2 linked regions of the Coturnix japonica genome follow. The protein of the gene in region 1 interacts with the protein of each later gene in a biochemical or structural test. Links are inferred from orthologs where the notes say so. Each region holds a gene or a part of one and is shown on either strand. Other genes may lie near its edges.

The links.
Region 2: the proteins of EEA1 (region 1) and RAB5C form a complex in vitro, tested with the Homo sapiens proteins (2 studies listed by BioGRID and IntAct, with this or other methods). The link is inferred for Coturnix japonica from reciprocal best matches to the Homo sapiens genes EEA1 and RAB5C.

Annotation. Positions count from the first base shown.
Region 1 is NC_029516.1:40,649,546-40,654,109, forward strand, and holds part of EEA1 (early endosome antigen 1), read right to left. Parts: intron 4,331-4,564; coding exon 4,210-4,330; intron 3,921-4,209; coding exon 3,822-3,920; intron 2,774-3,821; coding exon 2,651-2,773; 3' UTR 1-2,650. UniProt on the Homo sapiens protein: Binds phospholipid vesicles containing phosphatidylinositol 3-phosphate and participates in endosomal trafficking.
Region 2 is NC_029542.1:4,458,738-4,463,430, forward strand, and holds the start of RAB5C (ras-related protein Rab-5C), read right to left. Parts: upstream 3,342-4,693; 5' UTR 3,201-3,341; intron 1-3,200. UniProt on the Homo sapiens protein: The small GTPases Rab are key regulators of intracellular membrane trafficking, from the formation of transport vesicles to their fusion with membranes.

The sequences.
Region 1 (4,564 bases):
TAGAGCCATCTCCTACTATTTTCTCCTTACTGTAGAGCCATCTCCTCATGTTTCAAACATCCCCATACAAAAGTAAAACATCTGAACACAAGTGAATCTTTTAACCACTTCCCCCGCTCCCTTGAGAGATTTCCATCTTCATCTACCACATACATTTTGTCCTCGGTACAGCTGTGAGAGGCTTCCCCCTTCATTCTTAAAATCCCTTCTGCTTAATGTGGTTGTCCTTTACCCTGAAAGCAGCACTAGGTTCCATCTGCTTCACAACCAGACCTAGGCTGGAGCAAGAATCCAATCTCATCACCTTTGCCAGAGTTCTGAAGTCACTTGTCAGACAAATAAAAGGCTTGAAAGCAAACCTTCTGGATTCCCTCAGCCAATAAATAGATAGAAGAAATTACCAGAAGCAAAGTTCTGCTCTTACTTTCTATTCCAAGAATTATTATTTTGAGCAGTTGCAACAAGGTGATGCAGCAAGTCCAGAATGTCTGTTCACACAGAGTCATTGCAGCAATGGTTTCTTTCAAGCAGGCAACTCTCGAGTTCAAACTAGAAAAGTTGAAAAGTATTTCATGTTATCATGCTTTTACTCCAAGCCCTTCTATAGTTGTGAGAACCAGTTAAATAACTCAGCTGGCTTCTGGGAAGTAAGAAAACTTACTGAGAAAGAATTGTTGAGGTGAGGATGCAATCTACCTAACTAGGTAGTTAGGATATGAAACACAGATCACTACTGGGGATGAATGATTAAGAAGCCTTTTCATTTGAGAGTCAGGGCTATACATTTGTCACAAAAGTCTCCTCTTCATTCACATACAGGCCTGTCAGCACACAAAAGTAAACAAACCTACCTAAAGATGGCTAACTGTCCACCACTGTAACAGAACCTTCTTCTTTACCTTGGGAGGCAGCAGTAGAGGAACTGAGGCCATATTCCTTATCTCTGAACAGCCAGCACAGTTTTTTAGGACAGAGAATGGCTTGGGTTGTAAGGAATTTATTACAGCATTCTAGACAAAGGGGCTCTAAGTATGAGAACATATAACCTTAGCTCAGAAGAAATAATAACAATTCTGAGGCCAAACACTGGATACTTACTTCAAAGAGATTCAAAGTTAGACACGGGCAAGAAAAAAACACAAGGGTAGATAAAAGCACAATAAAAAGATTTAGAATTTACATGAACGCATCAGGAAACCTCTGTTGCTAATACAGAAGAATAAAATCAGAACAAACACAGGGTGGTGAGACACCAGAAGAGATTGCCCAGAGAAGCTTTGGCTGCCCCATCAGAGGAAATGTTCAAAGTTAGGTCAGATGAGACTCTGAGTAACCTGGTTTAGTGTCCATTGCAAGGGGGTTGGAGTAGTTATCTTTAAAGGCCCCTTTAGCCCAAGCAATTCAATGAATCTATGATCTAAAACTGTATATATTGACCTGCTTACTTAGAGCTGTTTGGCTTAAAGCTAAGCCAGCACCAGGAGATTTGCATCACCATTCTAAGCAGACTAAATCATAGGACTAGCATACAATTTAAGAACCCTCAGCAACAGGGGACAGACGAAACAATGGAAAAATGAGGTCTCTTAGGAGTACCAGCTGTTCAGCTTCTTCCATCAAAAGCTGAAGTAAGAGACAGGAGAAACGTTCAGCTCAAATGCAGCACCTCCCCTGAGGAGAGTTTTTCTTAGTAGAATTCCTAGTTGTGGAATTTCAGGACATGCCTCAGAACCACAAGGACTCCTTGGAGCTCCCAGACTATGGCATGGTGACAGATGAGCTACAGGCTACTATCTGCACTGTCTGTTTTTGAAATCCTGCATATAAAGGGTTTCTGGGATATTAAAATCAATTCATCAAATATGTAAAAGTGAAATCAGTCCACGTGGGAGAGCTTCACGTAATGTTCCTACAATGCCCACTAAACTTGGTCTCATCACTTGTTCATACATACGCACGCACACATACACACACAAATTATGCAGTACAGTATGCATAAAGATATTCCAGTATCCAAGTCCTGTAGTTGGGTAAGAACTCAGGTGCTGATACTACAAGTTCTAAGTGAGCAAGTAAAACTGAGAGTTACGTCCAGCCATGTCCCCTCAATGTGGAGTTCGAACTTTAAAGAGAAAAGTCCAAAAACCAGAGAGAAAGAAAATAAAAACACAAGGGGTTATAAAGACCATCAGATACACAATCAAATGCAACGAGTTATGCTATTACAGCAACATTTGATACACAAAATCCTCACAAGTTTTTGCATCTTCCTTTTTCATTGAAGGAAACAAGAATAAACTGCAATATCACATAAACGCATTTTCTCTTGAAAAAAAAAAAATAAAGATAAAAAAATACATTGTTACTCCTCTGTTTAAACTTTATTTACAAATAACCGGGTATTTCTAATCTAATTTCTAGACATAGAAGCTCTTTCCAGGATAGACGGCAATAAGCTTGGGTGATCTGAGCCCATATCTCACAAAAAATACAATAGTTTTACTTGGTATCAATAAACATTTTAAAATATACTAAATTTTGCCAAGTGTTACAATCATTGTCCAAACTGAGTAGTAGTCTGAGTGCTGAATGAAGTGCATCAACAGAAATAATAAATTTTAGTGTAACATTTCTTTGTCACTCACACCAGTTATCCTTGCAAGTCATTAAAGCAAGTATCACAGACCCGGACAGGCTTCTTAGAAGAAGGAGTTAAGGCATTCTTTGCTGAGCACTCAGCACAAAAGATATTTCCACACTGTCTACAGTGATGCTGTGAAAGAGAAAACAAACATATACTGTGAATATTGATTACAGTGCTGTGGGCACAGATCATTAAGGGAGATCATTATCATGTCAACTCAACTCTCTTGTGTTTCAGAAGTTTGGATTTTTAAACAGTAGTTCCATCACACCCTGAGCTTATATCTACATAGAAGAGCATAGCATAAGTCCTTACTAAGGGACATAGGAGCAAAATCATTAGACATGCTGCTTCACTGAGTGCTGTCTATTCTAGTTTCAGAATGGAACAGGTTGTAAATAATTCTCCTTATTATTTCCTCCTCTTTAACTTTTTTTGGTTGCAAAAAACATGTTCCTGCTTCCACATTAGGTAAGTACCCTTGAATAAAACAATCCAGCCACCTTTGTTCAAAGACTACCCAAAAGACATGACACCAAATAACATAGGACAGGGAGAACAACCTAACAAGAAGTCAGGAAGCACTGCAAAATGAACCTTATGAATATCCCTCACCTACTTCACTGCCAGGTCACTTGGTGGAGAGATAATAATCTCTGGATGAAGGGCTGACCCCCACCAATGAAGGGGTGCTAAGATCCTACCTGACAACAACTGTTTTACAGACCTAAAGCACAGACAGTTGTTTCTTCTGTTCTGTTGAGTTTAGCTAGTGCTTACAAAGATACAGTCACAAAGCTCCACTCTATGTTGATGTCTCATACTTTCACACATATCCAATTTTAACAAATTCACATTACTTTTTCACTTGTAAATCCAGTCCAGACTGGTTATAAGAAAGTTTACTGTAACTACTGTCATTTTTGGGGACTGAAATCTTTAACACTATTTATAAACTAATGCTGTTAAAATGGCAAGCATGAATACAATAAGCCCCACAAACATTACCTTTAGTATTTAAGGCATCATAAACAGCACCCGTACTCTGAGACATCTCAAATATCACTACAATTTAAAGCCATTTTCTAAAGTGTATTAAATATAAAATAGTTTGAAAGCAACAGAAAAAAAGAACACCCCCCCCCTCCCCCCCAGAAACACAGGAAAACACACTTACCCTTCTCACAGTCACTGAAAAGCCTTTTCCGCAGGCCATACAATTCTGCACCTCATTGTCTTCTGCCCATTTCCTGTTGAGAGCTTGAGTGTGTTTGATCTATTTAAATTTACAAAAATAACACAAATCAAAATGCATATCTAATTCCTCCTAATTTGTTTAATTTCACTGCACATACTAGGCAGTAAAAACGTCAGTTCTGCCATAACACTCATGTTTTCTCCAAAAGAAAACCCTGAATAGAGTTAACCTACAGAAAGTAATACTACCACAGGAACACCTTAATCCCTGTGGAAAGGTAACCCACCATGAATGCAATGCAAACTTTGTTTCTCACAAGCCCCACAGACAGAATCAACAGGTTTAAATGCTTAAAATGAAGTTATACCTGTAATGACTGGTTTTCTCGGCCTAGTTCCTGCATTGCAGCAGTAGTATTGTCCAGCTTTTTCTTCATTTCTACAAGTTTGGACTGAAGCTTTTCAATTTCTCCCTCACTTTTTATACACCTAAGGATAAACAGTGAATAGTCAGTTCAAAGCATATAAGGCGATGTACTCTGCCTCCTGTGAGCAGGTTGTCGTAACCGAGAAGAATGGTTAGCCTCATGAAATATACTTGCTGTGAAAAGTTCTTGGACACCTTGGCTGGAAACATATTCTGTTATAACAACCTATTTAAGATTATCTGGCACTGCTCCCAGATACCTGGGGCTCGTTAATACCTGGTGCTACTCCCAACAC
Region 2 (4,693 bases), on another chromosome or scaffold:
TGACTCAGCCCATATGCACAACAGAAACTAGTTACCTCAGAACCCAAGCAACATCTCTAGGATCTCACTCCAACTTTTGCAAGCTTCAGGCAATCCTAAGCCACATGCACTCCATCCATTTCCTGAGCAGAACGCACAAAACATCCTGCAGGGGCAAAGCACGAGCAAACTCAAGCTGTGATTTCAAATCCATTTAAGAAAGCCGCCTCAAACCCCTTTAATATTCCCAGCTGGGCAGTGCAGCTGTTCCACTGAGTTAAAGCAATAGCAAAGATTAACCCTTACTCCCTCCCCCCCACGCAGCACTGTCACACAGCTGGTTCTCAGGCACAGAGCCTCGGGGTGCTCATATCCCTCAATCCTTTCACCAGGGTCTCTCAACCTCCTCCAAAGATGTTCAGCAATTATCCCTTAGCAAAAGTTCCCGAAAGCACCTCATGAGATGCAAAGGTATTACACTTATATACCACCTTTGGAGGCAGAGGTTTTAATGCTAAAGCTGAATGAGCATAAGCAGCAAGAGTTACTGCCACACTGGCCACACGGGCACTACAAAGAAGCTCCATGCCTAATCCAGCGGGGGTTTTAATTCTGCAGAATAGCATGACTAATTGCTTTCAAAACTGCAGTTAGTGTGCTATTAGATCACCACGGGCTGAAGGGAGAAACGTGCAATTAGGGCAGGCTGAGGTGCTGTGCTCCTGCCCTTCCTCGTGCTTCGGGAAAGCATTTGGACCTACAGGTGACCATGGGCCCACATCCCCACCTGCTGACACAGCAAGTGAGCTCGTTCCAGATCAGCACGATGGAGACCCAAGCAAGTGAGCTTCCAGTACAGCTTCAGTCAAGCCATGGAAACAGCACACTTGTAAAGACTGCTTTAAAAGCAGCAGGATGAGAGGCGGCAGCTTCCGAGCAAGTGTTAGAGAGACATAAATTGCAGCACACAACTTCTACCGATTCATTTTATATAAGCTTCTCTTTGGCTGTATGGAACAAGGTCCCACATCCCAGGTACCAGAACCCCCTGCTCCCATGTTAACCCCCCTCCCGCAGGTATTGCCTGCATCCAGTTCTTCTCAGCACTGCAAGAACTCTGCCCTATGTCCAGCAGCTGATGCACTGCCAGGTTAACGACACTCCAGATACTGTGCAGACCAACTCAAAATTGACCTAAGTTTGTAACCCTGCAGGCAAGGTTCCCACAGCTCCCATTCCATACACTGCACTGTGCAGCACGCTCTCAAAAGGCTCAACTTCCTTTCGGCCAGAAATCCAGCAGCATTCACCCATAGACAGCACCTGCTCCTTGCTGAAAAAGGCACGACTGTTAACAATGCAGAGCAGAAAACAGCCATCTTCACCACAAGAGACTCGGTGACCTTCATTATATCTTTCCCAGTCTGCACAAAGATCTCCTGCCTCCAGTGGCTCCTTTTTTGGAGCGCTACCATATCAAAGCAAACATGAAAGCTGGTGTTTCCTTATCTGTTTATGTAGGACTACTCCAGTAGTTTGTTCCCGTGCTTCAGGGGAAGCCAGCATTCACATCAGAATTAAGACAGAGCGTTACTATTCCCCATAACGCCACTTCCAGGAAGCCGTGCTGTTTCTGGTTGGCAGATGGAACGTGTTCATAGTTACTGACAATTTCACAGAACTTGCATAAGAGAACTTCAAACTTCATATCCCAGGGGAAGGAAAGTGCTGACTCTGCCATTCCCTTCTTCTAAGCACGCTGACCAAAATACTTCAGGCTACACCCACTTCATTAGAAGCGTTTCCATTTTACTTCCTGTGTCTGGAAAGACTTGGCGCTGCTCTTCCCCCACCTAAGGAGATGCGTGACCATCTAATGGGTGACCATGCAGCACCTCACGGCAGGACTGAGCTGATGACCCCTCCTTTACATGCAGAGCTTTGCTGCGATGACAACAATTTCACTTCTCATCACTGCTCTTCCACACCTCGAGGTCTGGCTGAGCTCACAGAACCAGACTGTTACTCAGCTTTTGTTTCAGACAGTGTCCAATCCATCACTGGCTTCACTGTTACAGCAAAGTGACCCAAATCCAAGTCTGTCCACAGTAAAACCAGGTAAGTGTTTGACTTGACCACATCCACCTACTGAGCTAGCTGCCCCCATACTGCTCTCCCTTCCCCAGGGCTTCCATTTATCTTGCTCCCTCACCCTATGGGGTATTAAAGCCTGACTTCAACAGCCCTAGTGCCAGGCAGTGCAGGTCCCTTATCTTAAAATGAACATAGTTTGAATTAGCCTATGGTATCTCAGTGGGAAAAACTGCCTGTAGAGGTTGACCTGCTATGAAAGCACTTGACTGTTGGGGCATCCTGTTGAGACACAATTACTGAAGCCAAACATGGCTTTTCTAACCTTAGAGGTCTGTACAGACTCCAGCTTTACCTGCTGTTCTCATTCCAGGAGGGCATTAAGGCCAACATTGCCCTGCAGCAGCCTACAAACACCATTCAAGACTCCAGCACTGCACTACGTGAGGTGTCATTCTATAAGCAGGGCAGCTTGAGCATTTGCAAAGCCCCCAGACAAAAAACTAAGAATAGTAGATGCAACTTGTTCCATATGAGACTTAAAACAGCGTCTCAGTGCACTCTGTCCTCTCATTTCCTTACACATTTGGAAACCATCAAGGTCAGAGCTCCAACAGCCACACACAGCAACAAGGGAAGGGCCACAGCTCCCTGTGCAGGCTGCTCACAGTCAGGTGCTGCCATTAACACACACGGTGCTGCCATTAACACACACGGTGCTGCCATTAACACACACGGTGCTGCCATTCCTACCACGGGTGCTGCATATACCCTGATTCACCACACGGCGCTTCCCAGCAGCAGCATCAACCCAACAGGTCCGAGCTCTACAGCACCTACTGGCAGCACACAAAGCCGCACTGTCCGTTCAGGCCGCGCCCAGGACCCGCTGCACCCACCGCAGCACAGAGCGACCGCAACAAGCAGCAGCCGGGGACCGACCGCCCCGACCCCGCCCCATCCATCCCCACCGGGCGGACCGTCCGTGAGCCGGGCCCGAGCGATACGGGACAGCACGGACAGCACACACCGCACACACCGCCCGCAGGCCGGGCCGAGCAGCGGCCTGGAGCCCCGCCGGCCTCACTCAGCTCAACCCGCAGCTCAACGAACCCTCCGCCCGCACTCACCGCCCGCAGGGCCGCTCCCCGCCGCGGGTGCGTCTCGCAGGCCCCGGCCCTCACTTCCGCCTTTACCCGTTCCGCTTCCGGACCCGTCCACCGCTTCCGTTCCTGCCGTGCATGTCACTGGTAACTGCGGCTGTCAATCATCTTTGTCCCGCCTCCTCGTGTCTCCGCCTCCTGATGGACGCGTTGCGTCACGTGATCTGCGCTCCTCTACGTAATGCGTGTCTTTCGCAGAGCACCATGGGAATTGTAGTCCCCGGGTGTCCCCGCAGCGCCCCCCGAGCAGCTCGGCCACATCCCAACACAACACCCGCCAAACCTCCCCAAACCCCTTTAGTGCCCCCAAATCTGCCCCAAAACAGCCCAAAATCTGCCCCCAATCGCCCCCAGCAGCAGCGCAGCCCGGAGCTGCACAAATCGCTCATTTATTTCCCGTTCCGTCCGTCTCAGCGCGGAGCGGCCGAAGAACAGCGCGGGGCAGCTGGTCCCGCACGGTGCCGGTTCCGGTTCCGGTCCCGGTTCCCCCCAGCCCCGCATCGCCCGGGGGCGGCCGGCGCCCAACAGCGGCCCGAGGGATGAGCGGCCCCGGGGCGGGTTTATATGAAGCCCCGTAATGCGACGAGTGTCAAAACCGGCATCGAACAAACCCGGCACCGGCCGCTCGAGGCGAATCCGGAGCCGGGGGGTCCCGCCGCGTCTCAGCTGGACGAACCGGAGCGGGGCTGCGGGCGGACGCGGGCGGAGCAGCCCGGGAACGAGTGGGCGGAACGGGGCGGAACCGCGGGCGGAGGCGTCGGGGACTGAGGGACGGGGCGGGACGGGCGCGGTGCGGGCTGGGGAGCGGCGGGGGACGGAGGGTGCGGAGCCTCCGAGCCCAGCCCCGGGGCACCGGACGGAGCGGGAACGGAGCGACTGCGGGCGGGAGCGCAGCTGCAGGCGGGGGAGGAGCCCCGGGAGGCGGCGGGGGCCGGCGGGGGCCGGGAGGGCGGCGAGGAGGCTCCGGGCGGGCGACGGGGGCACGCGGGGGGCGGCGGGCGGCCCTGGAGCAGCTCCAGCACCCGCTGCAGCTCCCGGCTGAGCTGCGAAACCTCGCGGTTGAGGTGGGCGATCTGCAACGGGGACGGAAAGCGGCGTGAGCCCCGACGGGACGGGGGAGCCCCGCGCTCCCGGGCGGCCCCGCACCTCCCGGCTCAGCCGCACGATGCTGCGCTCCGCCGCCTCCACCTCCGCCAGCAGCGCCGGGCCGCGCTCCGCAGTCCCTGCCGGGCAGACAGCGCACGTCGCCGGGATCCCCTCGTTCCCCGCTCCGCCATTTGGCGCGGCCGTACCTGGTGGCGGGGAGCCCCTGGACCCGCCCCGCAGCCGAGGGGCCGCTCCGAAGCAGGAGGTTCGCGCGTCCCGGGTCCCCCCGTCGTCTTCGATCCCGTCCACCACCCTGCGGGGCGGCGGTGAGGACCCGACCTCGTCCTCGCCTCGTCCACCCCCGCCCCCTCCCG